4 linked regions of the Tamandua tetradactyla genome follow. The protein of the gene in region 3 interacts with the protein of the main gene of each other region in a pairwise test. Links are inferred from orthologs where the notes say so. Each region holds a gene or a part of one and is shown on either strand. Other genes may lie near its edges.

Region 1 (8,043 bases), on a different chromosome or scaffold from region 3:
AGAATGTAAACCTGATGCATGCACCTAGCTCTGCAGTCCTTCCTTACTAAACTTCCAGTAAGATGACTGCATCACTTCCTTCAAGGACAGTAAGATGACTGCATCACTTCCTTCAAGGAAATTACAGTCAAAAGAATGTCTCTTCCCTAAATAAGCCTACAGCACACCAAGGAGACACACTGAAATCTGATGTCACTAGTGAAGTCAGTCATTTAAAATACTGAGACAGGGGAAGACAAAATTTTCTGATCGTCCCACTAGTTCACCAGCCATTGTTCCCCCACTGGTCTTTATGGACTGTCTCAGCTCAACTCTCGTCCTTATTAACTTACTCAAGGATTGCTTCCGTATCCACCCTACCACAGGAAAGACCATCTGTTCAGATGCACTTTTCCCACTGTTTTAAAGGCCGTTTTTTGGGTCCCTTCAGCCAACAATGAGCTTTCTGAAGACAGACCCAGAACTCTGCCTTCCCAGTGCCTAGTCCAGCAGCTGCCATGTAGCAGGCACATAATGTATACTTTATGTTATGGTAGTTCATTCACTCATTCACTCCCATGTGAACATTATCAGAAGAATACGCTATCCTAATATAGGCGGGAGGTGATATTTTCTTTTGTTCTCTCTGGATTTTGTCTAGAAGGGGCAGGGCTATGGCTTCCTTTAGGAGAAAAACTGAAGGTTACAACTCTAATAAAGCAGCACCTAGTGAGGTGGAATAAGCAAATCAGATGATTTAAGAATTTCCAAAAGCGGTACTAACTGAAAACAAATGAATGATTAGTCCTATTCACAAACCACTTTAGGGTATATGCTTTGTACAACATGAATACGAAACGAAGCATTCAACAGTTTGTAAACTAGATGGCGTATTCAGGTTAAAGCAATGGTCGTCCAACTGGGCTCCTTGGGGTGCCACCTAAGGGACAGCCAAGTTGGCAAAGCTCAGGCTCAAACCTGAGCCTTTATTTTTCTTCAATATATTGGGCTACATGCGAGATTCCACTTAAATAAAGGGTTCGAGTATTGCTATGTTTTGAGGCAGTGTAGGAGGTTAATAAATGTTGATTGAATGAGGCCTGAAAAGGCCCATCTTAGAAAATCTTTACAAACACAAAAATAAAGAGGTCCCATTGAGTAGTTTGGTCTAAAGCCTACCCCCCGTACTGCGCCCACCCAGCCCAGCCCAGTTCTCACCTTCTATGCACTTAGGCTCACTGTCCAGGGTGCGCGTCTTACAGCGCAGTCCTTCCCCAGTGCCATCGATCCAGATATACATGGCTTGGACCTTCTCGCCCTGAGGCAGCCCCAGGTAGAACTGCTTGATGCCTTTGTTCAAGTGGGAACTTGCTGAGGTGGCCATGGTGGAAGGTGTTCTGGAGAGAAAAAGAAGAACATCTGGAAACCAATCTTTGGACTCCAAACTGAACCCCCTGCAGGGATGGCTCAAGAGGGAAATTTAAATCCAAGGCAGATGCTCCCTTTGAGAAGAGTGGGGTGGGGGCAGCCCCTTCCACTGGAAATCCTACACCCAAAGGTGTATTTATTCACTCTGGTTTCAAGAGGATCAACGTTTTTATATTAGTCAAAAATCTCCTGATAGTATTAGGCTGTAAAAATCCGATCAACTTTGCAAGAGAAAAGCCCTTGGCAATAAGCCTTGAGGCCTCTCAGCATCCTTGGGGCTTGAGAGATTAAGCTCTACTCCCCTCAGCACAGGTAGGGGAATTGTTTTAAAACATTTTATGCTAAGATACTACAGAAGTTCTACTCGAGAAAATTTAGAAAACAGATACAATCAACACAAATAATATCTAGCCACAGAAAAGCTTGGCTGCTATCATGTCCAGTGAGTGTTCCTTCACCTAAGTTGCAGTTTTTATAACAACCCCTTTTTGGCGATTCCCCATCCCCCTCAACAACATGCATTTAGATTTGAGGGTTAAACAAGGGCCTTCACTAGAAAGATTTAAAAGGCTGGAGGCTTCTTAAAAGCAAGACTGCAGTTACCAATATCACCAAGATAGAAGAGCTGATCCAAGGCATATTCTAAGGGGAACACTGCCATAATTTCCACTGGTCTAATGCAAAGTCTAACTTAATTCAGAAAGTGAGAATCACAATATTCTCAGATTTCACTGGCCAACTTTAAATAATAAGGGAATTCTCGCTTCTTAAACCAACATGATCTGGGATTTGGAAAGGTCTGATGCATGCTAAAAACTGCAAGCCGCCACCACCAGACCTCGGAAAGAAGAGAACCCAAAGCCACAGAACCGGCCTGGATGGTTAGAGGAAATGTTCTCCACACTCCACCCCACCCCTGCTCCAAACCCCAGGGTGGCTGCAAAGGAACACATTGTTCTCCTCCAATGACTTGAGCAACTTTCTAAAGTACAGTGGCAAAGTTTCTGCGGGCAACCATCCATGTTTGCCCAGCTGAAAACATAACTGCTTCTCCTTCCAACAGCCTCACCCTTCCCTGTGCGTTAGAGGAGAACCTCCTCCGGCAAGTCTTATAGGAGGAAAACCAATACTTCTGCCTATTGCAGGAGATTTGGTAGGTCAAATGCCACCCTCCACGCCCCCAACCAACCCCCCCCCCCCCCCGCCCCCGAAAGACCAGAATCTCTGATCCCTTCAGCTCCAACTACAAGTGAGAACTCAGTCTTTTAGCTTTCCTCCTAACTTGATACACCTCCAACATCAAGCCATGCTTCTCTCCAGTCCGGGTGAAGTGTCTTGTTCTCTCTCCCATGAGCCGGGTAGGTTGCCAGCAGCCTGCTGTACAATAGCAACTGGTGCTGCCGCAGAGCTTAAATTTTAAATCTTTGAGCTCTTTCTGCAGCTGCCACCAGCTGGGGAGTCCTCCTCCCTGCCCCTCACTCACCCCGGCCATAGGAGGTTAACCATATCGATGGGGTGGCCCTCGTTATGAGTCCTCTTTTTTGACTTGGGTTCACGCCTCTCTTCGTTCTCGGACTCTCGCTGGTCCAAGCACCGGAGCTTTCTGGGCGTTGGGGACGGGGATGGACAGGGGGATGGGGTTGGACACGGGGAAGGGGACGGGGCAGGGCACGGAGAATGCTCTGACCGGGTGGTGCTGGGATACGCGGGCTGGTGGGTCAGGGTCTTAATCTTGACTCGCGATTTCTCTCCCGGGTTCACCGAATAGGCGACGAAACCGAAGCAGTTGCTGGGGGACCCCGAGGACCGCGATTCTGTGTCTTCCGCATCATACTTCTTCTCGGCTTTGCGGCTGGGGGGGCGTCCCCGCTTCCCGCCCCCGGCGAAGCTGGAATCCACTTTGAGTGCAGTCCTTTCCCCCCGAAGTGTTCCAAACGTCGGGCCCCCGCCCCTCCGGCCCCGGTCCTGGTCTCAGGGACTCACCGAGGGGGCCATTCCCCTCCGGGGGCAGAGGCTGGGGACGGAGGGGAGGGGGTGCGGGGCACGTCGGCGGGAGGGGCGGCGTGCGGCTGCCACCTCCGCGGGGACTCGCCTCTAGCCGCGGCCCCGGGCTCCTCATTGTTCGGTCACAAGTGGAAGGTCCAGAACTCCCCCCGGGACTCGGTGGTAGGAGCCGGTCGCGCAAACACTACACTCCTGGTTAAACGAGCTTCGTCGCTCGGGCGTCAAAAAGATAATACCACGAGGACCCCACCCCCCCAACAGCTGCCACCGCCGAGAAGAGAGGGTGGACCCCGCGCCTGCCCAGCGCCCCCGCGTGCGTTCCTGCAGCGGGAACACGGCGGCTCCACCGACAGCCCAAACCCCACCACCGCGCCCAGGGCCGGCGGCTCAACGGTCCCGCCCGCTGAAAGGTCTCCTGGGCGTCCCTCTGGGCCGCGAGCAGCGGAAGGAAGATCAGAACAACCTCCTCCCCTTCTCAAAACACCTCGAGAAAGGCGCGCCCCCAAAACGCCAACCCAGACCCTCCGGGAATCGCCGACGGCGGAGCCACGCGGGAGGCCCGGGCGTCTTTGACCTCCTGAGCCCAGGAGGTCACAGCGCACAAGTGAGGACAGGAGGTGAGAAGGAGCCAAACCCGCACGAAGGGCCCCTAGTGCCACCGAGGGGCAGGCGGCGGGGCCCGCGCGCGTCCCTTCTGTGCTGTCCGGGAACCTTACCTGTGCAGCAGGCAGGGCAGAGGGAGGGAAGGCCGCGAGAGCGAAGTGAGAGGAGGCCGGGTGTGCAGGTCACACGCTGAACCCTTCTCTCATTCTCGGCTCTTCCGGGTCCCCTCGGGCCCGGCACCCTTTATCTGCGGCCGGGAGCCGCCCCCGGCGCCCTGATTGGCTTCGAGCGGCCGGGAGCGCGGACAGATCAGCTGATGTGCGCCCGAGCCCGGTGGCCATTGGGCGACGAGGCGTGCAGGCGCCGCGGGGGTGGGGGGAGCGAGCCCGGGAAAGAAAGAAAGAGAAAGGGGCGTGGGGGAGGGGGCGGAGGGAAGGAAAAGAAGGGCTGGCTGCTGGCGTGCAGAGGGCGCGAGTTCCTGCCGAGAAAGGACCCCGCCTGTAGTCGGCTCGAGCAAAACAACCGCGGCATGACCCGGGGCGGCCCTTGCAGCCCCCTCCCCCCGAGGCAGAAGGTTCCCAGAAAACCGCCAGCCCCTGCTGCCTTCCGATTGCATTGCAAGGAGAGTCCTCCTTTACGATGTCATACCGCGGGCCCCAGAGTTGCGGTTGGAAATTCTGAGCCACTGAACAATAATTTTGGCCTTTATTGTTAGAGAGCCTTCCCGCCCCTACTTCGGGGCGCGCTCGCGTTACGCTAGAGAGGGAGCGCGGGGTGCGGGTGCCGGGAAGCCCTGGGCTTTCCTGGGCGACGGCGGGTGCAGCAGGGGCCTGGAAGAGGGCAGCAAAGAGAGGGGGCTCCTGAAGGTGAGCCGGGGTTCATAACCCTAGGACAGCCCCCCTCCCCGGTTGTCTCAGGAAATTTTGGAAAGAGAACACAATTGTTACTGCACAGTTTTAATCATCGTTCCATGGAGTGGATTTTGGCGGGCGGTGGAAACAAAGTCAGGAGACCTGTCTGATACCGTCTTTGTCAGGCAAGTCACCCAGCCACTCTGGGCCCAAGTTTGCTTATCTGCAAAATAAAACTGTTCAGAGGATGACCTTTTAGAACCACCCACCAGATTTGAAATTCTATGTGCAAGCTGATCCCAAGTGCACTGAGAGGAAACGGAGATCTTCCAATTACCCCTTCGAAGCTCAGAGTTTGTAAAAAAAAAAAAAAAAATAGCATTCTAGCATTCCTTAAACAATTTTTCTTTTCTTTTGCCTTTCAGGTGACTTATTGTTCCTTCTTTTTAATCCGTAAATTGGAATACGTACCCCCTCTCTCCTCAGCCTCTCTGTGATGGTTGAGAGAATGTATGTGTAAACTCAATGGTGAAAATGCTTGCCAAAGATGCACGATCATGGCAAACTACAAAAAATAATATTTTATGTTTGCATTCTACCAGTTACTATTACTCAGTTAATCTATTTTTATTGCCCCCAATTCACCTGGAGGTGTGAATTTATTGCTTTTCCAGAAGTGCTAACATTTGAGACAGATTTTTCTCAGGCTTTGAGTCTTGGTCTTTGAGACCGAGAATTTATGCTTTCAGTGGTTTTGGGACACGAAAGGAAGAAGTTTGTTCTTCTGGTTGTTTTTTGTACCACAAACATGGAAAAGAAACGTTGCTGGTGACCATAAACATAACCTGGGTTCTTTGGTCAACATCCCTTTCCTTTAAGAGTGCATCTGAGTACTGTAGTGCTTTTAAATGACAAATGTAGCATTCACGTCCAGCGGGGGCGTTTGGTGTGTTTCAGACTGGTGACATCCTGGATTGGGTATAGAACCTTACAAATGTAAGGGATTCCATGTTAAATTTCAGTATTGCACATTGTAGCATTATAGTGCCATTGTTAAAGACAGGGTTTAGGGTCAGACAAACGTAGGTTCAAATCAGGGCTTTATCTCTTTAACAGCTTTGTATCAGCCGAGTTACTTAACCTCCTTAAATCTCAGTTACCTTGCCTATAAAATAGAATAACAAAAATTTAATAGGGATAGTGTGAGGATTAATTGTGATAACAGATGCAAAAGTGTTTAGGATAGTACTTGGAAAACAGTAAATGTTTAGTCCACCCTAGTTACAGCAGTGACAGGCCCGGGATGATCTGATGAGACTGGATTATTTCTTTGCCTGTAGCGACCATTCAATTGATACCCAACCAAAACAACTTTCTGACTCAGTGTAATGCTTTACCTGGGAACAGAGTAAGCTGTCTTAATTCCATTTCTTTCTGTAAAGCCTTGAATTTAAATGGCCGGGGGTGGGGGTGGGGATGGGTGTGGAGTAAGAAGAGGTGATGTTCTTATTTTAAAAGATGTTAATTTCCAAATGCCAAAACTACCAGAGATATAAACCAGTGCTTTCTACTGCATCCATCACCACAGCCCCTCCCTCCATTAGGAGATGGCAGTGATAGAAAATGGACTACTAGAAGCAAATACAGCTTCTGGTTTATTTTGCTGGGCAAGTGCCTGCTTCCCTTGTTAGGTGTCATAACCTCCTTGAGCAGTTTATTCATCTTCATATCCCTTGCCGGTATCCAAAGTGAGTGTTCAATAAATGATGTTTGTTGACCTCACACAATGACAGCGGCACCATCAAGAGAACATGTGCTTTGAGCTGCTTTTCCTGGAATGGAAGTGGATTTGCTTTGATCCATTCATGTGACCAGGGGCATGCTTTGTGAGGCTTAGGAACATAATATGTGGCCACTCACTCTTTCAGGAGTGAACAAGAGGCCTTGTCCTCCTTGGTCAACCCCACACTTACTTAAACCAGCCGAACTAGGGCCCAGAGGAGTCCCAGAGAAGCTGAAGCGTAGACGAGAGAAGAAAAAGCAGAAGAAAGTCCTTTAACTAATTGCCCCCAGAAACCCAGACTGTACATTCAGAGAAGTTGCAAGTGGAGCAGGCTGTTTCATTTGGTTTGATTTCGCTGTGTCTGCTGCCCTTTGTTCCCAGTCTCCTTGTTCCCTAAATTGCTACCACCCCCATTTCTCGCTGCCCCCATAAACAGCGCATCAGCATGCTTGCACCCTTAAACTTTTCTCTCTTGGTACACAGCATGAAAGCTGACAAGGGGTTCTATTGCCTGGGCTCAGAAGTCATGGCTCTCTCTCAGAGTAGCTTTGGTCCAGGGGTGGGTGGAGTGGGAGAGCAGCAGTGAGAGTAGACTTTGTTCCGAATCTGTAGAAATGACTAGGGATTAAAATGATTTCTTGGTGTTCCTCTGCTGCCTGAAATAAAGGCCTTTTTTTGGAAGGGCATTGCCTGTGATTTCTCCTCTCAATCTCTCTTATTCACAGGACCTATTCTCACTGTACAGGTCTGAAGCCCTGGGGCTAGTGATCTGAAGGCACCTTCCCAAGGCCTTGCTCTCATTTCTTCATTAGAGACAAGATTTGGGATGAAACTCAAATAGTTTATAGCGGGTCTCCCTGTATTTGAACGATTACAACACCTGTCTAGTGAGACTGTACAGGAGGGCTAAAGAGACAATGGCTGAGACTCAGGGTTGAGGAACTCTGTGGAGACCCAACCCAGAATTGTGAACTTTTCTGTTTTGCTTTTTAGTAATCCCATCACCAGTTCTTTCTCAAAGGAAGAGTCACAGCATAATCTTTAGGCAAAGTAAAACAAAAATAAAACAAAAGATGGGAAAAGAAAAAAAAAAGCAAAACAAATATATCTAGAAGTTGATGTCATTATTCCTAAACCATATTTTGGGGAGAAGCTGCAGGTGGCCTAAGCTTCCAGATTTCACTACCGTGAACATAAGACAAAAAAAGACCAGGTATAAGCAATTGAGGTTATACCTCAATTCAATATCCAACACTGGGCACAGAGGAATTTCTCTGTATATCCTGTCTTGATTGTTTGATGCTCTTAAGTTTCGAAAAGGAAATTAAGAGTTTAAGTCTCAGCCATATCTGTTTCGCCCTAATGAAGGGTTTCATTGAGCACCCATTGACATAT
Region 2 (7,100 bases), on a different chromosome or scaffold from region 3:
CAGGTTACATCCCTGTTGTGCTTAGAGCCCTCCATGGCTCCCACCTTCCTCAGAGTAAAAGCCAAAATCCTATGCACGGTCCCAAGGCTCCACTCCACCTGCCCCATCACCCCCCCACGCTCTGGCCGTTTCCTATACCAGGAACAGCCCTCCTCCCACCCACTCGGGCACTCACAGGTCACACTTCCTAAAAGAGCCCCCCTCATGCACCCCTTTTTCTTGCCACCCTGTCACAGCACCCATGTGCTTCACGTGTCGCCTCCCTCCCCCACTAGTCTCCAGAGGCCAGGAGGCCTTCCCATCCAGTCCACACCTGTCTCCCCTCATGTGGGAGAAGGCCCACTTCATGGGCACAGCTCCCACACTGGCTCTCACCATGAGGTTGGCATTGGCAATGTGGTGCTTGACCAGGCCCCCGCCCAGGATGATCATCCCCGAGTGCTTGGCGAAGATGGCCTGGGTGTTGATGAGCCTCAGGTCTGGGGGTGTGAGGGGCTGTGTTCAGGCTTGGGGCCCAGCCGGCCCGCCTCCCCCTGACCCCTACCTGTAGCCCCAGCACACACCCTCCACGATGTCCAGGACCAGGCCCGGGTTCTTGTAAGAATGGAAGAAGATCATGTCGCCCAGCGAGCCATCCGTGAGCGCCGGGCTCAACACAGGGATGTGGTTCTGGGGGAGGGAGGGCAGGACAGGGCTTGGGGCCCGGAGCCTGGTGCGGGCAGCCTGGTGCCTCTCCCTGTTGCATCACTTCCTCCCTGCCTGACTGGGGGCAGAGGGCTTAACTTCTCTGGGCCTCAGGTTCCTCAAGAGCACTACAAGGGATAATAGTACCTCCCCTCCTACCCCCAAAGATGATGCCCATTTAACAAACCACCCAAAACACTTAGGACAGCGCCTAGCAACTAAAAGGCAGTAGCTTGTGTTAACTGACAGATGCCTAGACCTCCTGGCCTCTGTGGGGTGTGGACCCTCAGGCACCCATAGGGGCCTTGCTAAGCACTGTCCGGACTTAAGCTCCCAACTGCTCCCAGGCAGCCCAGGAGAACAGATCCGCTCAACAGCTGGGTGATGTCTAACAGAATTACTTAACTGCTCTGTGCCTAAGGCTCCTCACCTTGAAATGGGGGCAATGAGAATGAGGACACCATCCCCCTGTGGAGAGGAAGGAAGCTAACACGTGCCCCGAATCAGCCCCTCACCTTCTGGGCCCAGTAATACACCGACTCTGAGTTGTTGATCTCCTTGCCAAGCCGGGCAATCATCTTGGAAGGAGTCCACTTCACACCCTAGGAGGAGACAAGGATGAGCCCGCACTTCCTGTGGCTCCCACTGAGCCACCCTCCCCCCAGGGGGTGGGCCCTGGCCCCACCTCTGTGTTCTGCTCCAGCACCATCTGGTCCAGGATGGGCATCAGCCAGTCCTCAAATTTGCAATAATTGTCATTAGGCACCAGCAGGTTCCCAATCCTGGAGGCAGGAGGAGGTGGACATCAGGCCTCAGGGCCCTGGGGCCAGCCCCCTTGCCCAGCACCACCCAGGCCACCCAGCACCCCTCCCCCACACCTGTTGATCCCATTCTCCCGGAGCTCCTTCCCCCTGAGACTGAACTCCCCCAGGTACGTGGGTGCCAGGCACTTGATGAGATCCTCCTCCACACCCCCAGCTGTGGTCACCAGGACGTCCACCTGTGGCCAGAAGGTGGCAACGTTGGCCAGGGAAGGGGATCCCTGCCCTCAGCCTGCAGGTCTCCAAACCCCCACCTTCACCCCAAGACCCTTAGGGGCAGCGCTGCTGCAAAATCAACTGCATCCTGTCCCTCTGCTTAGGACCGACCCATCTCTCCATCATCTCACTAAAACGTTCGATGATCCTTTTGACCGCTGAGACTCAGAGGGCGTCTAGGCCCCAACCCTGCCAGGTTCCCACCATGTTATGCTGCACGAGGTAGCGGATGGACTCGCGGACGCCCGAGCTAATGAGGTTGGACGTGTAGCCCAGGAAAATGGTGCAGCCGGTGAGCGGGCGGCGGCTCCGGGTCAGGTCCGCATGATGGTCCTCGTCCTGCGACAGCGGCTCCAGCTTCTTTTCGATCTGGGTAGAGGGGCCCGATGGGCTTGAGCTCAACCCAAAGGCCCCGGGTAGGTCCCAGAGGCAGACCCCGCCCCCAAGGCCCTGCCCACTCAGGAATCGGGTACCACTTGTACCTGGTGCCAGGCCCCGCCTCCTTCCCCGCCCAGACCTCAGGGGAGGGCTCAGGAGTAGCCGCCTTTCTGGAGTCAGCATCTCCTTTGCAAGTCTAGCCCTCATAGAAACGCTCGCCCAGGACAGGCCCCGCCTCTCTCCGGCGATTGGACCGCCCCATCGGATGGCACGCCCCACCCAGCCCGCAGGAAGTCCCGCCCCCTAACCCAGGTACAGCACGGGTCCCCCGGCAGACCACGCTCCTCCCCGGGCCCGGAAGTCCCGCCTCAGGCCTCACCATGGCGTTGACTTGCTCCACCGCGCGTCCGAAGTTGGTGGCCTGGAAGCCGGTGGTGCCGAAGGCCTCCAGCAACGCGCGGTAGTCCACGCCGCGGTTGAAGTCGTAGCCCCGGACCTGGGCGCTCTCGGGCGGCAGCGCCGTGCTGTGCTTCAGCACGGCGGCCAGCGCCGCCGCGGGCGCCCCTCCTTCCAGGGGGCCCTCCATACTATGCGGCGGCGCTCCCAGGTCACGGCCGCCCCCCGGCGGGCCTCCGGCGGCGTTTAACGTGCCGGGTCCCACAACCGCTTGCTTCTATTGCCGGAGCGCAGGAAATGGGGCTCGGGAAGACCTCGGGGAGACGGACCGGAAGTAGCTCAGTCACATGATTCTCTGTGGCGCCCAGGGAGTGGCCATGTTTGCGCGGCTGTACGGAAGCGAGGAGTCTATTCCCTGGTTTGCACGTTCTCAGCTTCATATGATTAGAGTCCTACCTTTACTGCTGCCTGCTGGAAACCAGCGCGTTGTGCAATGCTTCCGCCATCCAATTCTGTCTTGGGGAGAGTACCACTTCTTAGGCGTGGCCCTTGGGCAGGATTTGGGTCCCCAGGCAGAGTCAGATACAGTTTCCTGCCTCTCATCCTCTCTAGTCACATGGCACTGATCTCTGCTCATGCCACCACGTGCTGCACAACCCTTTCCACCGGCAGCTGCAGCTGTCACCTCTGGAAAGCCTTTCCTGACTTTCCAGACTGGCCCAAAGATCTCTTCTGACAGCTCTTCCCCCTCTCTTCCCCTCACCCCCGCCCCAGGGAGACTGTAAGACTCCTGAAGGCGGGTCTGTGGCTCCTGCATCCCTCTATGCGCATCTGTGCCGGTGTGAAAGGAAGTATGCCCCCTAAGAAAAGCCATGTTTTAATCAAAATATCATTTCGTAAAGGTAGAATAATCTCTGTTCAATACTGTATGTTTGAAACTGTAATCAGATCATTTCCCTGGATGATGGGATTTAGTCAGGAGTGGTTGTTAAGCTGAATCTTGATTGGTTTATTGGAGTCATATAAGAGAGGAAATATTTTGGAGAATGAGAGATTCAGAGAGAGCAACACTACGAAGCAGAGAGTCCACCAGCCAGCGACCTTTGGAGATGGAGAAGGGAAACGCCTCCCGGGGAGCTTCATGAAACCGGAAGCCAGAAGAGAAAGCTAGCAGATGACTCCATGTTCGCCATGTGCCCTTCCACATGAGAGAGGAACCCTGACCGTGTTCACCATGTGCCTTTGCAGATGAGAAAGAAACCTTCAACTTCATCGGTCTTCTTGAACCAAGGTATCTTTCCCTGGATGCCTTTGATTGGACATCTCTATGGACTTGTTGTAATTGGGACATTGTCTTGGCCTTAGAACTGTAGATTAGCAACTCATTAAACTCCCCTTTTTAAAAGCCATTCTGCTTCTGGTATATTGCATTCCTGCAGCTAGCAAACTAGAACAGCATCTCTCTAATTGTGCGCAGGCCACCCCTTTATTGCTGGCTTAAGATATGTGGAGGCATACTACGCCTTGGGCTCTGTGCTAGGTGCTGTGGGTTTAGCAGTGAACAAGACTGACCTCTGCCCCCGAGGAGCCCACAGTCTGAAAATTAACAGTGTAAATGCTATTCAGGACTTAAACAGGGTGACGTAGGAGAGTAATTGGGGTGATTGGCGACTTCAGTTGGATGGACAGGTAGTTGGGAGGTTTTGAGCCAAAACCAGAAGGCCAAGAAAGACCCACCGCTATGTGAAGAAATCAGGGGAGGGCATTCACCCCCACCCCCAGCAGTGCAAAGGCCCTGAGGCTGGCAATGAGCCCACTTTATAGGACAGACAGAACATCCTTCTTAACACCCTACTTGGGTCTCAAATTCAATACATCCTTCCCCTCTTCACCTAAATCTGATCCTCCCACAATCTTCTGCATCTCAACCAATGTCCTCAACCTCCACTTCTCCACTTGGCCAGAAACTATGGAGTTGAACCTGAGGTCTTCCATTTTCTCAGACCCCACACCCTTCTATCAGCACACCCACTAAGTTCTACCTATCAAATAGGTCCCAGGTACACGCACTTTTCTTCATTCCCGTGGCTTCCACACTGGGCTCCCTCCCCTCCAATCTGTCTCCCAACAGCAGCCGGAGAGCCCTTCTTTAAACATAAATCACATGCAGCATTCCTCATTAAAACTCTCTAAGGGTGACTTCCCCTTGGGATAAAATCCAGCCACTTCTCCCTGGCCTCTAGGGGCACCGCTGACCTGCCCCAACACCCGTTAGCTTCTGCTTGCTCATTTCTCTGCAGCTACATCAGCCTCCATGTGCCCCTGGAACCCTCCAGCCTCTCTCCTGACCTGCAGCTCCTTTGGGTCTCAGCTCATTTATCACCTTCTTGGCCTGCTTTGGCCACTCCCCTTTGCCCTCCCCTTGCTTTTATACAAAAATGTCTGCATTATAACGTGTATTTTATTCACTGGTTGTCTGTCCCTCCCCTACTAGAATAGCAGTTCAGTGAGGACAGGATTTTGTCTCATTTCACCATTTCACCTCCTGCTTTTTGAGCAGTATTTGGAAAATACAAGGACCTCAGCAAGTGTGCCGAATGAATGAATGAATGAAATCAAGGGCATCAGGCTGGTAAGTGAAGAATGAGAGACAGAGAGGGTGGTGCGAAAATGAATTCAGAGACAGCAGGAGAGTCCAGCCTAGACAGGACCCCGCGTGCACTGGTGAATCTCATTCTAAGGGGCAGCAAAACGTTGGGAGAGTCTCAGCAAGATCGAGAGCCTGTGATGTATTTTTTAAGAGATTCCCACTGGCTGCCTTGAGGAGAGCCGAGGTGTGACCTGGAGAGGGCCGGCAGGGCTGAGTCAGCTGCCCGGGGCCAGGCAAGCGAAGGGGGACGCGACCACAGGGTGGGCGGAAGTGACCAATGCAGAATCCAACTTGAAGGCTCCCCTGATGGCACTTGAGAAAGGATTTGGTGTGGGGATAACAGGAAGGAAGGGCAGAAAAGGATTTGGAGATTTGGCCCTGAGCAGTCGAGTGGAGGGTACTGCACTTCAACTCAGGGGAGGGGGGACATAAGATTTGGGCAGACAGATAACAGAGTCTAGCTTTGATTGAATTAAAGGATGTACCAAGGAAGGAGGTGGGACCTCAGGTCTGTAATTCAGGGAACGGCTGGGAAAGGGACTGAGGAAGTCCGCTCTCTGGGTGTATGGAGTCATTTGTACCCAGGCGGTGGGTGTAGACAGAAAGGAAAGGCAGGGCTGCCCTGCTGCAATCCCGCACACAGGGGATGGCAGAGCCTGGCCAAGGAGACGTGTTGGGGAAAGGATAGCAAGGGGTCAAGCAGACCATGGAGTGGCCAACCCACCCCACCCCTGCATTCCGCCTGCCAAGCCATTCAGCCTGCAGGGCTCCCATCCCCCAGGGATCTAGATGACACGTGACACCAGGGCCACCGCAGGGGCCTCCTGGGGCAGGGACCCCCTTGGCCCAAGCAGCAGCTGAGGCTGGTGACATTTCACTGCATGGTGAGGGAGCCTCCTGGCTTCAAAGCCTTGGCGGGGGGTGACGAGGAGGGGCTGGGAGAGGGGAGGCCAGGTGGGGGTGAGAGGCAGCCAGAACCCAGCTGGCGGTGGATGGGGCGGCCAGGATCGGCTGAGTCCTCAGCAGAGGTACAGTGGCCTTGGGGGGAGGTCAGGGAGCCGCTCCCCTGCAGTCCCCAGGGGCCTGAGGGCAGTACAGGGTCTGGGGCTCTGGGGCCAGGCCCCCGCCCACCCCCAGCTCGCCTTTCCCCAGATGTCCAGCAAGGTGGCCCTTGGCAGTGACATCGGGCAGGCCCGCCGGGCCGTGGAGCAGCTACGCATGGAGGTGGGCCTGGAGCGCGTGAAGGTGAGGGCCTGGCCCAGCGGGGTGGCTTGGGGCGCCCCGGGGGTGCAGGGCTCAGCTGAGCACCGGGGCGGGGCTGACGGGATGTGGGGGGGCGACCCCAGGTGTCCAAGGCGGCCGCCGACCTGCTGCAGTTCTGCACGGAGCAGGCCAAGAGCGACCCCTTCCTCGTGGGCATCCCGGCTGCCACCAACCCCTTTAAGGAGAAGAAGCCCTGTGCCATCCTGTGACCCAATAAACATGAAGTGACCGCTGCCCGGGGTGTGGCTGGGCCTGGGGAGGTGGGCGTGCAGGTGGCAGCATCCTTGTGGCAGAGGGTCGCAGGCCGCAGGGGGGCACTGGTCCCACTCCCTCCCTCGCCTCCCCACCCCCACAGGGCAGCGCCAGCGGGCTCCCTGCGCCAACACACATCACCCACGCAGAGTTGCAGCCCTAAAAACAGGTGCCTATGTCCTCAGGCCCTCCAGTCCCTGACCACACACTCAGGCCCACAGACAAGCCACACACGCACACACACACACAGCAGTCATTGTAATGGAAACACGCCAGGACCACACACACACATACACACACACACACACACACACACAGCAGTCATTGTAATGGAAACACGCCAGGACCACACACACACACACACACACACACACATACTCATTGTAATGGAAACACGCCAGGACTGCCTCCTCCAGCCCCAAGCTCCCTGCCCGCCAGTT
Region 3 (7,834 bases):
AAATCTGTATGATACATACAATGAATAGCACACAGTGTATTTTCTTTGTTACTTTCCATTGGTTCTCCCTTAAATTTTAGTCAAGTTCTTTTAAAAGAAAAAAAGAAATCCAACTATGATTCAGTAGGGCCGGTGGAAGATGAAGAAAGGGTTTTGGTCTGGCTTGGGCTGAAGTTGTAAAAAGGCAGAGGCACAAGCCTGGGGGCTGGCAAATGACAGGGAAGGAATCTGAGCCCAAGAAGTTCAAGGAGAAAAATGCACAAGTAAAGAAGCAGGGGCAGACTTTATAGCTTGTCTCCCATCTGAAATTTCTCCAGGAAGTTCTCAGGGTTCAAGCAGTGAGAGGGTTAGAGTTGGTTAATAAGGGATGTTGTTCCCTCTCACCACCCCAGTCACATCCCTTCCTACCAGGTGACAGAAGGGCACCCCCCACACTCAGACCTCAGGCCTCCTCGTGAGCCGGTCTGTCCAGCCACCCACCCACCTGACCTTGGAGCCTCGGCATGCTGTCAGGGAAAGGCCTGGTGGCTGTCAGTGGAACAAGGGAAGCAGCTTCTCTTCTGACAACCATCCCACCTTCCTGCTCATTTCCTTCCCACGGAGACATTTAGGCAGCAAAGGGGAGGTAAGCGACACCCGTTTACTCAGCAAGGGACCCTCACTCGGAGGACCTCCCCCAGTTTCCCTTCCATGCTCTAAGTGCCTGAAAGGATTCAGATGCAGGCCTTTTCTAGGTGGGCACAGAAAATGAAGACTGTGTGCCAGGGCAGGGTCAGAAAGTCCCCACCTCCCTGACAAGGAGCTTCAGGGCAGTTGGGCCTTTGACTCCTTGGTTGGTTGAAGGCACTGTCCTTTCTGTCAAGAGAGATGGGAATCCCTCTGAGAACCAGGAGAACCCCAGTGCAAGAGGATCACAGATTTCCAACTTCTTGCCTCTTGGCAGAGGAATGGCGAAACCATCGTGGAAACACAGATGTCCAGCTTCTTGCCCGCTTCTGGCACCTTCCTATCTGTTGACTGGGACAACAGATGATTCCTGAAGCCTCTGTAAGAGCTGACTTTGTAGGTCTTCCTCCATCACCTTCCACCAAAAGAATTTCTCACCCCGAACCTTTGGGGGCTCATTTTGGATACCTGGGTTCCGAAAAGCCACTGTCACCAGCACATTTAGGCAAATGCCATCTGTATGGTCTTTGCCTAGATGCTGCAGTCCTAGCAACCCCTTGGTCTCCACTGCTAAGTGGTGCAGAGTCAGACATTCCTGTAGCAGCCGCAGGATGGCCATCTTGATGCCACCCCTCTGCTCCACTGGGGTGAAGCCACAGGCAGTGATGGGCAAGTGAGGCATCCCCACTGTACCCACCAGCACCCACACAGCTTGGACACTGGTAAAGGTGGCCACGAGCCGCTGGCAAACCAGACTGCAGGGAAGCTCTTGAGGCAGAATAAGAGGGTGACTGGCTCGCTGGCCATACTGGGCAGCTAGCTCTACCAGGTGCAAAATGTCATGGGCTCGCAGTGGAGTGGGCAGGGAGGTCCGTGGATACCAGCCAGCCTGCAGGGACTCCGCGTCTGCCTCCTTTGAAGTCTTAAGAATTCCACCTAAGGGGAGATTTGGAGGGCAGAGGGGAGGAAAGGGTCTGTGCTGAAAGAAGTGCCAGATCTGGCAGAATAAAATGGATACCCAGGGAGGAGACCGAAATTCTCAGGGTGGAATCTGGGCCATGCCAGGCTGTGGAGAGGCTCATCTCACCAAAGGACAAGCAGGCATGAGATGGGGTGGGAGTAGGGGTGTCAATCGTTTCCTGCTCCCACTGCCATTGGGTGGGACATACCTGTGGCCTGAGCCAGGAATGCAAAGCGGATCCAGGAGAGGCCCCGTTCCTCCACAGCCAACAGGGTCAGAGGCTCACACTGCAGCCCGGCCTCCTCCTTCACCTCCCGTTGGAGCGCCTCCACGATGGTCTCCCCTGGCTCCATTCTCCCCGCGGGTAGGTACCACGACCCGCGGCATTCTCTCTTGGCCTCCTGGATCAGGAGCACCTCATCCTGAGGGGACACAGAGGATCCTCACCTCCCACCATAGAGCACAGCACAAGCAGAGGCCCTTCCTCTCCATATGACAGCAACAGTCAGCCCTGAGGGATACCCTCAAGTTGCTGAGCTCTCCAGGGGACAGGGCTGTGTGTGAGGCTGTTTCTTGTCTGCAGTTGGGCCCTCTTTGGATTCAGAGACTTCCATTTCAGGAAGGGGCTGAGATTCCTGGGGGCTGCTTCCAGGGGCCGGGGATTAGACCCCAGGGTGAGGTTACCATGTCTGTGGACGTGTCACTGTGAATCTGTCGCCTCCCCAGATGGTTTACCAAATGCTCGTGTCCAGCCGCAACCCAGCCCAACCATGGCCCTGTCCCTTACTAGCTGTTATTAGAGGAACGTGTACAGGCATCAGCACCCAAAAGAGCACTGGACAAGGAGGTCAGACGTCTGAGTGCGAGCGTGGGCTCCGCCATTCCCATCCGGAGGATGCAGGGGAGCTCTCTCAAGCACTCCACAGACCTTTAAGAGGGCCGAGAATCCACCGGACACTGTGCCAACCTCCTGGCAAAGAAGGAATAAGACAGCCCTCTGCTCAAGGGCTTGACACGCCAGGAGCAAGTTCTACGAAGCTCCTGGGCCTCAGTTTCCTTCTCTGCATATAGGGATAATTGCAGGGCTGGACCGCCACCAGGCTCAGGGGCAAGTGTGAGTGAAAGTGCTTTGCTAAATTACTGGAAAGCGCCCCGCACAAGCAAGCGGTGGGTGAGGCCACTGGCGTTTCCGAGGCCGGGGCGGCGGGCTGGCGGCCCCGGGCCCCGCTGGGACGCTCACCTGCTCGTTGAGGAACACCGCCAGTACCACGTAGCAGACGTTCTTCCGCAGCCGCACCGGCGCCGGCGGCTCCTCGGCGGGCACCGAGTCCCAGCCCTGCACGCGCAGCCCCCGGCCCCCCAGCACCGCCGCCAGCGCCCCCGCCAGGCCTTCCGAGGCCATCGAGGCCCCTGCGGGCGGCGGGCCCGCAGTCTGCAGAGCGGGCTGAGTCGGGGCGGAGAGGTCGGGGGGGGGGGGGGGGGACGAGGGGGCGAGCGAGGGGAAGGTGGGCGGGGGTCCGTCTCCGTCTTCCCCTGACGATTCAGTCCGCGCGCGCTCGCGGACGCGGAAGAGCCGGGCGAGCGCTCGCGGCGGAGAGGCTGCGCGTCACCACGGCCCGCCTACATAGGTTGGCCCGCGGCGGGCACGGGGGCGGGGCCAGCCTGGAAGGGGACGCGGCACCCCTGCGGGGACCCGGGCAGACCCCTGCCCCGCCGCCGCTGCTGTCCCACCCGCCCTGCTCTGTCTTTTCGGACGTCTCCCGCCCCCGACCTCGCTGGTTCGGCTAGCGCGCGCTGGTCTGCGGGGTTCTGACGGCGTCGTCATCCTGCCTGCGGGGCAGCGAGACGCCACCGCGGCCGGCGACGGTGGCGTCACAAGCCCGATGACGTCACGGAGGCCCGCGGTTTGGACTGTCCAGATCGCCTTAAACATGCGATGGCTTTGCCCCAGAAGATCACTTCTTAGATTTCTTTCTTCTTTCTTCACTAAACTGTATGGGATTTAACATAGCAGGGGGAACCGTAAGCCCCCGCTGTAGAGGAGATTCCCACTTAGTTGGCAAGATGGACATATACGTAGGAAAAGTCACCCCAGGGGTGTACGCCAAGGGCTAAGTGAGTGATGTGGGTATGAGGTGTGACAGGAGCTCGGAGGAGGGAGGGGGCACCACTGGGACGGACAAGGTGGGGCAGGGCTGAGGAGGGAAGGAGGGGATTTCAGGGACAGACTCAGAGAAGATCTTCAATCTGCCAGCCGAGCCGTTATGTTACCCCGCCCTCTGCCCACCGTGTATTTCCAGGTGGTTCCAGGCCCCTCTCCCCTGTAGACTGTGGGCCCTGCCAGGGCAAAGGGGTGTCTTGCTCTGTTTTTGCTGCCCTCCCATGGAGCACGCACAGGCTGGCACAGTGAGAGCAGGGTGTGGGCTGTTTTGGGCGAGTTCCTGCTTCTCTCCCAGCCTGACCTCTCCTCTGCAGAACTTCCTTTAACCTCCTCTCAGGACAGGAAGTCAGGGCCAGCTGGAATGAAACTGGGAAGCAAGCAAACTCTATGTGCCTCGCCCCGAGTAGGGGCCCCCCTTTTCTCTTTCCCCTCGTGCTGGCTTTGTGCACCTCTTGTTTTTTGGTGAGATTGGCTGTGATGGAGAGGACCAAGTACTGGCCTTGAAGCCATAAGGCCCGGCCACTGCTTGCTGGCTTGCTCTGCGTCCTCAGGCAGGTTATAGGTCTCCTTTTCCTCATCTGTAGAGCACCCTTTCCTTCACAGGGTTGTGGGGAGGGTACGGTGAGATGTGGAGAGGAGCTTTGTGGACCGTCCATTCAGGCAGAGCAATGCACCATCACCAGACTGCCCACGAAGCCTCCAGGCAGGGCCCTCCTGCGGCCAAAGTAGGACCTACCCTCATGAATGTGCCGACAGGGCCACTATAGGACTAGACTTGACTCTCAGAAACTGCAACCCCAGCTTCTCAGTCTCCACAGGCCCTTCTCACATCCTGCACTGACTGCGGGTTCCCAGGAGACCGGGTGCTGTGTTGCCCCAGGCCAGCTGGTGAATGCTGCCGCCCCAGCCATACCCAACACCACCTCACCTCCCAGACACCTGACTGTACAGGGTGGAGTCGGGACCCCAAGACTACAGAGTGACCTGTCAACAAATCTGCTGCCCGTGTGTGACCCTCAGTTTTCCCATCTGTGAAGTAGGGACAGCGTTGTTCCCAGACTCCTTCCTGCCTCCCAGGGATGATTTGAGTGAGAGTGAGGTCACGTCTGGGCAAGGATCTGAAGCCTGACAAGCAGCCTGAGATAAACAACAGACGGCCTAACCGCCTGGAAGTGCCAAGGCGGCTCCACTCCCCGCATCAATGCCGAAGAGGAAAAGCATTCCGCTTCTCTCCAGAGGGCCTCACGTGAGGCAAAGGAATGCGAAGCCCCTCGTGAGCCGTGAAGGGCTGCATGGGATGGGTGGGGTTTGGGGGTAGTCGGTACCCAGCCCTCAGAGGGAAACAACAATGAAATGGACTTTTCTCAAGGCATTGGGAGGACGAGAGAACACAGTCAGACTGGGTAACATGGGAGACACTGAGCAGAGAAAGAGAAATGCTGAGGGAGGGGGGCTGGGATAGAAAAACCCGGAGGCCGAGGGATGCAGCTCGATTCGTGAAGAGACCCAACTGGTAAAGATGGCCCCACAAAACTACAAAACCCCACAAAAGAAAAAGGCTTTCATCAACGTTTTCTCTGTGTCCTCTTTGCCCATGAGGGATGAAAACTGGCTGGGGTGGGTGGCCGCAGGGACGGTGCAGGGTTCCCAGCGCCCAAGATTCCCAGCCCGAGCTAGACGTTTCGAGGCATGCGCACAGGCACGTGCGTAGGAGCACGCATGCGCAAAGGCCCGTGACTGGCACCCTCAGGGACCGGAAGGGGCGGGGCAAGGTCAGAGCCGCCTACCCAAGAGTAAGGCTTTTTGCCCTGAAAGCCCACGTGAAGGCTGAGGAGGACAACGGTGCAAGCTCCAGGCCCTTCTGTGGAGGGCGTCGGGCTTCCAGATGGGCCCTGCCGCTAGGTTGGCCCCTCAGGGGTAGGGTCAGATCTTCCCCTTAGGCCAACTGTAAAAACAAGGTACTATTGGATCCTGTCATAAAGAAAGGACGTAAGTGGGAAAACTGGTGAAATCCCAAGAAAGTCTTTTGCTTCCTTAATAATCAATCTATCGGTGTCTCGTGGCTAGGTAAGGTGTTAACTTAGAGGAAACTGGGTGAAGGGTAAATGGGAACTTTATGCCATCTTTGCAATCCTTCTGTAAATCTAAAATTATTTCAAAATAAGTCTCCAAAACCTTACTTTATAAGAAAAAGGAAAAGAAGGCATCGGAGGTACATCCTATGAGCTCCCCGCCAGCCCTGAGGGTTCTGCTTCTTAAATATTTGGGTCAATGAGGAGGCCTGGAAGCAGACGGTGGACAGTGAGGAGAGGCCTGTGAGAAGCAAGAGGCTCAAAGGGCAGTCTGGGCTGGGATTGAGCCGGCCAGGCCTCCATGGGGGTCAGTGCCACCCCCTGCCCACAACCTGAGGCACTGGGTCACTCCCCACCTGGGCTGGCTTCATTCCCAGGTCCATCTCTGGAATAAATGAACATTGATCCATCTGCTGATTCCAACACGTCAGACCAATTATGCCTTTAATGGTGCTGTGACCCCCCCCATGAAGGATTGGGGGGGGGATGGGGTGCTCCATGTGAAGAGAGAGGCCCAGGGACTCGGTGGTCCCCATCCCAAATGGGAAAAATTAAGAGACCATCCTCCCATAGGAAGGACCTCGTGTCTTGGGTTCTGGGGTAACATCAGGACACAGCCAAATAAGGTGAAATCTAAGTAGGAATGGGTCATTCAGTGCTACTTGGAAGATGATCAGATAGAAAGTACGTAATGTTGGAAGGACAGAGAAGAGGGCAAGCTCATCTTTAAACTGCATTAAGAGCTGAGACGATCATGTAAACGAGGTGGCATGAGTCAGAAGATTTGGTCCAAATCCCAGTTCTGCCACTAAAATTGCTGAATGTCCTGGGGTAGTTTACTTAACCCCAGCCTGCCTGTTTCTTCTTTAAAACAGAAATAAATAATGTCTACCTTAAAATATTGATGAAGGATTAAATGAGATCATATTTATGTCAAAATACTGGTGTGGTGCCTACTATAAGTGTAGGAGTCCTCTATTTTTCTTTCTTTCTTTTTAATCCCACGAAAAAATGGAATTAACCTAATTTACCAAACAATGAAGAAACCTAAATTTCAGGAAGAAAGAGGGCTTGATAAATCGTGGCAAAGCCTCAATCGACTGTAAGCAGCCACTTAACATGACGCTTAGGTAACAACATAAAAAATAATTATATTAAGATAAGTAAATCAACTACAAAACACCAATTCAACCACATGTGAAATAGACCCTTGGGGAAAATACCAGAAGGAACTATACCAAAATGCTGATAGTGATCAGGCTGAGCATGCTGGAGATAGGCTTCCAGGTGACTTTTTCTTATTTTCTAAATCTTCTGAAAGTATATTACACTTGTAATAAAAAAATTTTATTTAATAATAAAAAAAATTCCCTGAACCACCACAGAAACAATTAGGTATAACAACAGTTGGAGCATTTTGCGATCTCAAGGGAAGGGGTGAGGGGAAGAGTAACACCAGAGGGGTCACAGGGCGTGGGCAGAGGGGGCCAGGCAGTCAGCTGTCTGAGCTGTGAGGCTCAGTCCCGGGGTGGCTGGGCCTGGGGCCATGGCACCAAGGGCAGAAGGGCTGGGCAAGGGCTCTCCCAGGCCACAATCTCCAAGTCAGACCAGACATAGACCTGGTCTTGGCAGGAGCATTGTGGCTCCAGGATCTCTGCAGGTCGATGCTGCACGTGAAGGCCACCTCGCTGCTGAACTCCAGGGCTCGGCTTTGCCTGCTGTTGCTATCAAAAGCCATCTTTGGTCAGAAGGCTTCATCTTGTCCTCAGTGGGTGCCACGGGCCCAGGCCCCGGGAAGAAGAGCAGAAGGTTTTGAGGTCCCTGTTAACCCCTGTGGTTGCCCACCGGCCCCATTCTACTTGTTCTTGCTCCAGAGCAGATCTCCGTAGCTCCCCTCCCTCCCAAACCATGTGGCCTGCATAAGCAGCGTGCACTGGCAACATTCACAGAACAACAGACTTTAATGGAAAGAAT
Region 4 (7,687 bases), on a different chromosome or scaffold from region 3:
CACAGCATTGAGCACGTGGTATGGGTCCGATCAACGAGGCTATGGTTTCAACTCCTGCTTCATAGTATTGAGAGAGTCTTTAGAGGCAGGGTGGGGACCACATTTTATATCCCTTGTACACCAGCACATGACTCAATTCCTGGTCCATGGTGGGCATCCTTTGGGGACAATCAGCATGAATATTCTGCGTGAGGAAAATAAAGCACACTTGCTTCCCTATCCCCCATGCGCCTACTAAAGCACACACTCAAACACACGGACCTGTAGCCCTAGTTGAGGGTAAAACCGTGTTATCATTCATAAGTCCTCTCAGAGAGCCTTCTTTGGTTTCCCCAAAAAGTTCATAGCTCTATCTTGCGGAACCTTCCTACTTTGCTTTGTCCACACAAAGTCCTACCTGGGGAGGCTGTGGCATTTATCTTTTCTGTACCATGTGACCTTCAGGAGTCTTTTCATCCACTCCTTCGGATGAGGCAAAGAACACACCTCTCCCTACCCAGCATCAGAGGTGTGGGGGCGTCAGCACCACCTGCAAGCAGTGCCACACCCCTGTGCCCCTCACTCCCCTGGAGGTCCCTGCGTGGCCACAAATCCCACAAAAAGCCATCTCTTATCCTCCTCCTACCAATCCCAATTCCAGCCAGCTTCCTGTAATGCAGCTCAGCCAGGGAAAAAGGGCCACTGACCAGTGAGGTATCATCCAATTACAACCAGGGGGCCAGGGTAGCCAGTATTTCTGCTCCCACTGACAGGGGACTGTCCTCCCAGATCCCACTGTCCCCTCCCACACAGTGCCTAGACAGCATTCAGCCCTCCCAGGGGCCCCTGCGGTACAAAGTACTATGCTACAGATCTATCTCCCCATTTGCCAGATGGGGAAGTTGAGGTACTGAGCCAAGATGAGCTTTGACCCAGGGCCACTCAGACTCCATTGCTGAATATTTACTACGAAGCCCAGGCTTGTGATGACTTTTTGGGGCTTTGCAGGTGTGACCATATCACTAGAAGGACCTCAGACACATGGGTGTCAGGCCATGCAGGGGCCGGACTGAGCTGATTCCACATGGTGGGACCTGGGGGCTTCTCATCCCTGCAGTTCCAGCCACACCATCTCACCCATTCTGCAGTCTCTCCTCTCTGTCTCACCACCATCCCTGACCCGGGGCCAAGCCACCTGCGATTCCTTCCAAACCACCCCCAGTCAACCACAGGAGCCCACGGGGAATCGGCAGGCTGGGCGGGAACATCAGCACAACCCGGAAAGACACATGGAGACGGGTCCTCTATCTCCATCGCAGCCTGGCTGAGAGTAAAATGAAACAGTCTGCTCACTCATGTGCCTCCTGAGCCTCTTCGGCACATTTTTTTTTCCCCTTCTGAAAATATTCCTTAACAAAGAGATGCCTGCTCCGGGCAGGCCCAAACCCAGCTCCACAGGGTCCCAAAGGCCAGGATAGCAGGAAGCCATTTCATTTTGGCAAAGCATGTCCATAGTGGATGAAAAAAACCCACTGGGCCATGAGGAGCTAGTCCCTTGAGCAGCCTGGATGGTGGTGCTGGCTGCATCTGAGGCCAGCAGGTGCAATGGGGTCAGGATGCTGGTCCTACCAGTCTGGTCAGACTTTAGGACGGGGGCATGGGCAGCCTGAGCCCCTCCCTGCTTGTCCCTCCCCCCAACAGTGGGTGGCATAAATTAGGGGGCAGGCAGTAGTGCCTTTCAGGACACTTTGATGTAGGAGAGGGAGTGAGTGTCCTTCCCTTTGAAGAAGGGCAAAGCAGTCAGACTTTAAAGGATAAAGAAGCCTGGGGCAGGAGCCCACAGGGGCGCTAAGAGCTGTTGGGTCCCTGCCACCCTCAGGGGCCCCAATGTGGGGCCCGGCTCAGGGAGATTGGTGTGGCTGGACAGGCTGGCTGCCTAAGGTGGGACCTGTTGGCTCCTAAAGGGCCTGGGCAGGTGGGGTCCAAGTTGGTTTGTGGGAGTGCTGAGAAGTCCTGGGTGTGGGTGTCTGTGTATAGGGGAGATAGGTGGGGTGTGTGTCAGAGGTCCCAAATTTATCTGTGTGCGTTGGGGACCTGGGAGCTCCTGGCTTCTATGTGTTGGGAGGGGGGGGTCGGCATAACTGCCAGCACGAGTTGTTGGGGCTCATGGGTGAGAACTGGAGGCTCCCAGATGTGCTTGTGTATGTGTCTGGGATTTGCAGAAAGACGTGCGTCTGGGGGTGGGGAGGGGGTATCCCGATGTCTGGGCATGAGGAGAGGGGTGGTTTTCAGTAAGACCGGATCAAGACGGGCCAGGATCCAGGGGTGTCCTGGGAGGACCCAAGGAATGATTCTGAGGGGCGCCCTTGGGCACAGGGTGTCTGGGGTGGAAGCTGGGCCAGCAGGCTGAAGGGAGACCTGTGGGCGGGCGTCCTGATGGGAGGAGGCCTTTGGGGTCAGAGGGGAGGGGCCCGTGGGATCAGAGGGGAGGGGGCAGGCCCTGGGGCTGGCCTTCCCGGGGGTGGGGGCAGGTCTGGGCTAGGAGACTGGAGGGTAAAGCGAGGGGAGGGTCAGGCGGCAAGAATCCCGCAGACCGGAGGGGTCCTGGGCCTGGGGGGGTCCCTCGTGGGAGGAGGTGGGTCTGCGGGGTAGGGGTCGGGGTCTCCGAAGGGTCCTAGGAGGGATCCTGAGGGTAGGTGGAAAGGGTGGGCGGGGGTCATGGGCCTGATGGGGCCTCACGCGGAGAGGACCCCTGGTGGTGGTGAGGTGTCCCGAGGGACGCGAGCGAGGGTGGGCGGTGGTCCAGGTCCGGGGCTGGGAATGCCCGGGGCTCCCCGCGCGGGTTCCCGAGCGGCCCGGAGTCGCGGTCTGGCCCAACCCCCGCGGGCCGCAGCGCCCGGAGGCCCGGCCCGCGCCACACTACCTGCGCCGAGCGCGCCGCCATCGCCGTGCCGAGCCTCGTCGTCCCGGGCCGCGCCGCCGGACCCCTGCTGCACCGCTCGTCCCGCAGCCCCGGCCCGGCCCCCTCAGCCTCCCCCCGGGACCGCGGCCGCAGCCGGCTCCGCCGCTGCCATTTCACCCGCTGACAGGAGCCGCTGCCCCGCCCCCGAGGCCCGGCCAGCCAATTCACCACCCCCGAGCGTGAGGCTCCGCCCACCGTCCGGGAGTGACGGCGTACCTAGCCAATCGGTGGCCACTCCGTGAGGCGGGACTGGCTAAGGTCAGAAGATTGCCGCCTCTTGGAAGAGAAGCGAATTGAAATTAGGGAAGCCGTGAGCGACAGGCTGATTCACCTATCAGAAAGAGAACCCTGTTGATCAACACCCGATGGGACCAATAGCAAGGAAAGAGGTGTGTCGCTGCGGAAAGGCTGCGGGCCTGAGGAACACCAGCCAGAGACAGCCAAGCGTTTGGCACTAAGCTCCACCCAGAGCCATGCTTTCTGCCAATGACGAGACGTCCTGAGATGTCCATTATTATCTGCTCGGCCATGGCAACTGTTGGGGCGCGATAAAGATTGACACCTAAGGAGCCAATGACTATGAAGGAGGGAGTTGCAGTGACACCCTCTGACCAATGATATCGTGAAGTTCTTGTGAAGTTGGCCTCCTGAGCAAGGAGCTTGACTCCGGGCTTGAATGGAATGGAGGAGGGGCTGAGGAAGGGGCGGGGCCTAGGCCACTGATGGGGCGTGGTCAGGCCTGGGCGGGGCTACCTGCCCGAGTCCGAGAAGGGGCGTTGCCGAGAAATACCTAGGGCAGAAAGGGAGGTGATGGGACCGCATCCTTTCAGAGTCCAGCACTGTGCCGGGGGCGGGGTGGTTGGGGTGTGTGTGGGGGGTCACCCTGAAAACGGGGACCCGTCCTGTGCCCTTGTCTAGCCCGGGTTACGTGTCTTCTCTGTGGCTCACAACGCTTTGTGTTAACGCTGAGATCTCTGAACTGTCACCGTTTGCACCGCCATCTCACCCGCACCTTCCCCAGACCTGCAGCTCCTCGGGGACGTGGGTGTACAGGGCTTACGTCAGATCTCCCGGGGTCCCCAGCATTGCCTAGCAGGGGCCCGGCACGTGGTAACTGCTTATAAATGTTTGATGAATGAAATAAATCAATGAATGGTGGGCTCAAGGCTTTCAACACGGAAGTGAAGGCCGGGGGTCCTCAGGCTGGCGAAGAACATACGGAGACAGTTACTGCCGGTGGGCAAAACTCTGCAGAGACGTGGCCCAAGATTCAGGGACGGGCCCAGGAGGGGATGGGGCAGGGAAGGACTCCGCCAGGCAGGAGACGGTAGCATAGCAGTGATCAGGTTCGGGCTGCAAATAGGAAGACAGATACGGAAGGAAGTCTGGGACCCAGCATGTCAGGTCTGAGATCAATATAGTAAGAGGTTTTGGTCTAGGTGCAATGCCTGACATCCACCCAAATTCCCTGTCCTTGTCTATCTCTCTCTACCCCTGTCTACACTTTTCTCTGGCCCCGTCTACACTCTGCTCCTTTCTACACCCTGCCTGTCTACTCTGCTCTTGTCGACACTATCTCTTTCCCTATCTACACTGCTGTTATCTACACTCTACCTGCCCCTGTCGACAATCTGCCATTATCTACAACCGCTCGTGTCCTTGTCTACCCACTCTGCTCCTGTCTACACACTTCCTATCTCCTGTCTACCCACTCCCTGATTCTGTGTCACTCTCTACATTCTCTCTGCCTCGATGTTTCCCCTCTCTCCCTCCCTCTCCCTTTCTATACCGTATTTGTTAAAATGCCAGAACATTGGATTAAGAAAACCCCAAACTCTGAAAACTTGGGTGATAAAGATAAATAAAATGCATTCCTTCCCCTCCCCATACCACACTTTTTTTTTTTCCGAAACACGTCTTCACCTCCCTCCCTTTAAAGCCATGTTATGTGCCAGGCATATTATAGTCCTGACAAAGTCACAAAGCGACGTTGACTTTGCAGAGGGTGAAACTGAAGTGACGCTCATTGACTGCCCTTGTCCCCTGATTCACAGAGCTTGAGCTGCCCTGGGAGGGACCATGGACTCTGTGGATGTAGTTAGTGATGGGATGCAGGGTGTTAAGTGAGAAGGGCAGGGTGCAGTGGAGGCCAAACAAGGGGTGATTCCTGAGTCTGGCTGCCCAAGGTCCCTCAGCTTGGGGGACTAAAGAGCCATCGCAAAGATCCAAAGTCTAGGGGGTTGCCCCACTATGCACGTGATCACAGAAGAGAACAATCTCTGAGCCACAGCTTTTCAGCAACGAAACCCCCAGGCTTCTGGTCCTTCAACAGTAGTCAGGACCTGGGAGATAGAGAAGCCTGGGGAGGCTCAGAGCTGGATGGGTTCTGGAGTGCAGCTGGACGGGGTCTTGAGTGCAGCTAGAAAGCAATCAGGACCAGTTTCAGAGGACTTGCTAGGGAGATAAGCAGCCACTGGTATCTGGGGAATAAAATCAGATGCAAAGAGTTGCACTGGATGTTAGGACTCTCTCATTCTCACACTACCATTTTGACACAAAGGATGATTTTATTCTGGGAACACTTTGATTCCATTTTTATGAGCACAAGTGGAAAAAGTCCAATAAATTCCTGTTGGAAAAGGCTTTTAAATCATAAACTGCATTTAAATAGTTGTATTCCTGGATCATTTTTGTATTCATTATAGTTAAACCATTTCCAAATGTTTCAAATTTCATTTTTGTTTGAACTTTTTTTAAAATCAGGAACACTTCTTTCCCATGTGATTTTTTACAGTGAACATTTGCATCGTTAATCAGATCGCTTTATTCAATTTTCGCCAACTATAGATTCTACCATAGTGATTTTTTTTGATATGGCTGTCATTTCTTCTAAGCCAAATTTTGCATATTTAAATTTATCTAAAAGACTCTTCTGTTAGTGCCTAGCTGATCACATTTTTCCACAATCAAAACCATTTTTTTCTGGACCAAACTTTGGGCTCAAACTCTTTTGTTAGGAATGCTGATCAATGTGGACTCAGAGCTCGTAATTTTGTCGCATAGGTAACCAAGAAGACTACAAAATTCGTAGCGTCTTACATTGAGAGGTGTAGTTTCCCCTCACTGCTTGAATCTGGACTGGCCTGTGACTTGTTCTGACCAACAGAACGTATCAGAAATGCTGTGCTCATTCTGAGATTGGGCCAAAGAAGCCTTGAAGCTTCTGTTCTTGCTTCTCTCATCATCGTGTGAACAAGCCCGAGCTAGCCTGGATGATGCACAAGGCTCAGCCGCCTTTGTGGTCTCCACCACCAGCCAAACAACCTTCAACCATGAATGAGGTCATCTGTTGAAGTTTCCTATTGCTATGTAGCAAACCTTCCCTAAAGTAGCAACCCTCTTCAGTATGTTTATGAATTCTGTGGATCAGGAATTTGGACAGGGCACAGTAGGGATGCTTGTCTCTGCTCCATGAGGTCCAGAACTCAGCTGGGAGGAGTTGCATGGCCGTACATGCCTAAAGGGTCTGGGGCTAGGGGGAGTTATCTGGGAGCTGCTTCATTCATATGTTTGGTTGCTGAACTGGGATGACTTAAATGGCTCGGGTCTCACTGGGGATCTCTCTTGGGAACCCTCCATTTGATCTCCTTACATGACATTTCCACCCTGGCAGCCACAGGTAGTCAGACTTCTGATATAACATCTCAAGACTTTGGCAGTAAGTCTTTCATCAAATAAATTAGAAGCTGCATGGACCTTTATGATCTAGCCTTGGAGTCATATGACACTGCTTCTGCTCTATGCTATTGATTGAAGCTGTCCAACCCTGACCAGATTCAAGGGGAGGGAAGTAGACCTCATAACTTGATGGGAATATTGTCAAGTATTTTCAGTTATGTTTTAAAACTCCTACATTATCTAAGGGTACCAGACTCAGCCAATCTATCAGGTGACCACAAATGCGTAAAAGAGCCCAAATGACCTTCCCAGCTGAGACTAACCTAAATCCTTGAACCACAGAACTGTAATCTAAACAAAAATTTTTAAGCCATTAATTTTTAGGACACTTTGTTATGCAGCCAATAGCTAACTGATACATCTTCACATGTGTACAGCATTCACAAAGCCTAATATGGACTTGCCATTTCCTGGAGCCCTACAAGGTAATGCAACTTAGCAGACCCAAGGCCTCTGGAGTCCCTTGAACCCTCCTGCATTCACCCCACAGTCCACTACCCCTGGCTTTACCTGCCATGACAATTCTGCCCATTCCTAGTGCTCCTTGAAGAGTCTCAACAACCCATGACTAGAGCCCCTGAACATAATAAAAGTATTGAATTGAAACAATCCCCAGTTATCCCACTCTCAGACCACACAAACTGATCTGTCCCATTTTACAAATATATATACTCTATAGAATATCTTTGCAACCTTTTTTCTTGCTGTGGTCTTGTGTATATATCTTTTTTTTTTTAATTGTGAAAAATAGCATATATACAAAACAACAATAAATTTCAAAGCATACTGGAACAATTAGTTATAGAACAGATTTCAGAGTTTGGTATGGGTTACAGTTCCACAATTTTAGGTTTTCCCTTCTAGCTGTTCCAAGACACTGGAGACTAAAAGAAATATCAATGTAATGATTCGGCATTCATACTTATTTGTTAAATCCTATCTTTTCTGTTATAACTCCACTGTCTCCTTTGATCTTTCTCCCACTGTATAGGGATATTTGGGCTATGC

The links.
Region 1: the proteins of NUDT18 (region 3) and GLUL interact in a two-hybrid assay, tested with the Homo sapiens proteins (2 studies listed by BioGRID and IntAct). The two-hybrid records come from large-scale screens. The link is inferred for Tamandua tetradactyla from reciprocal best matches to the Homo sapiens genes NUDT18 and GLUL.
Region 2: the proteins of NUDT18 (region 3) and DHPS interact in binary tests that used the Homo sapiens proteins (3 or more experiments, as listed by UniProt). The two-hybrid records come from large-scale screens. The link is inferred for Tamandua tetradactyla from reciprocal best matches to the Homo sapiens genes NUDT18 and DHPS.
Region 4: the proteins of NUDT18 (region 3) and EVI5L interact in binary tests that used the Homo sapiens proteins (3 or more experiments, as listed by UniProt). The two-hybrid records come from large-scale screens. The link is inferred for Tamandua tetradactyla from reciprocal best matches to the Homo sapiens genes NUDT18 and EVI5L.

What each region holds. Positions count from the first base shown.
Region 1 is NC_135330.1:37,223,841-37,231,883, forward strand, and holds the start of GLUL (glutamine synthetase), read right to left. Parts: upstream 3,087-8,043; 5' UTR 2,914-3,086; coding exon 2,891-2,913; intron 1,377-2,890; coding exon 1,198-1,376; intron 1-1,197. UniProt on the Homo sapiens protein: Glutamine synthetase that catalyzes the ATP-dependent conversion of glutamate and ammonia to glutamine.
Region 2 is NC_135337.1:89,906,889-89,913,988, reverse strand, and holds the start of DHPS (deoxyhypusine synthase), read right to left. Parts: upstream 3,060-7,100; 5' UTR 2,686-3,059; coding exon 2,479-2,685; intron 2,317-2,478; exon of another isoform or gene 2,204-2,316; intron 2,091-2,203; coding exon 1,926-2,090; intron 1,685-1,925; coding exon 1,563-1,684; intron 1,467-1,562; coding exon 1,370-1,466; intron 1,287-1,369; coding exon 1,200-1,286; intron 670-1,199; coding exon 564-669; coding exon of another isoform or gene 545-563; intron 480-544; coding exon 376-479; intron 1-375. Other genes in the region: GNG14 (guanine nucleotide-binding protein G(I)/G(S)/G(O) subunit gamma-14), read left to right, coding at 6,138-6,173, 6,298-6,390, 6,492-6,617. UniProt on the Homo sapiens protein: Catalyzes the NAD-dependent oxidative cleavage of spermidine and the subsequent transfer of the butylamine moiety of spermidine to the epsilon-amino group of a critical lysine residue of the eIF-5A precursor protein to form the intermediate deoxyhypusine residue.
Region 3 is NC_135329.1:22,739,724-22,747,557, forward strand, and holds NUDT18 (8-oxo-dGDP phosphatase NUDT18), read right to left. Parts: upstream 3,065-7,834; 5' UTR 3,030-3,064; coding exon 2,868-3,029; intron 2,050-2,867; coding exon 1,836-2,049; intron 1,603-1,835; coding exon 1,007-1,602; 3' UTR 626-1,006; downstream 1-625. UniProt on the Homo sapiens protein: Mediates the hydrolysis of oxidized nucleoside diphosphate derivatives. Hydrolyzes 8-oxo-7,8-dihydroguanine (8-oxo-Gua)-containing deoxyribo- and ribonucleoside diphosphates to the monophosphates. Hydrolyzes 8-oxo-dGDP and 8-oxo-GDP with the same efficiencies.
Region 4 is NC_135337.1:84,256,002-84,263,688, reverse strand, and holds the start of EVI5L (EVI5-like protein), read right to left. Parts: upstream 3,071-7,687; 5' UTR 2,903-3,070; intron 1-2,902. UniProt on the Homo sapiens protein: Functions as a GTPase-activating protein (GAP) with a broad specificity.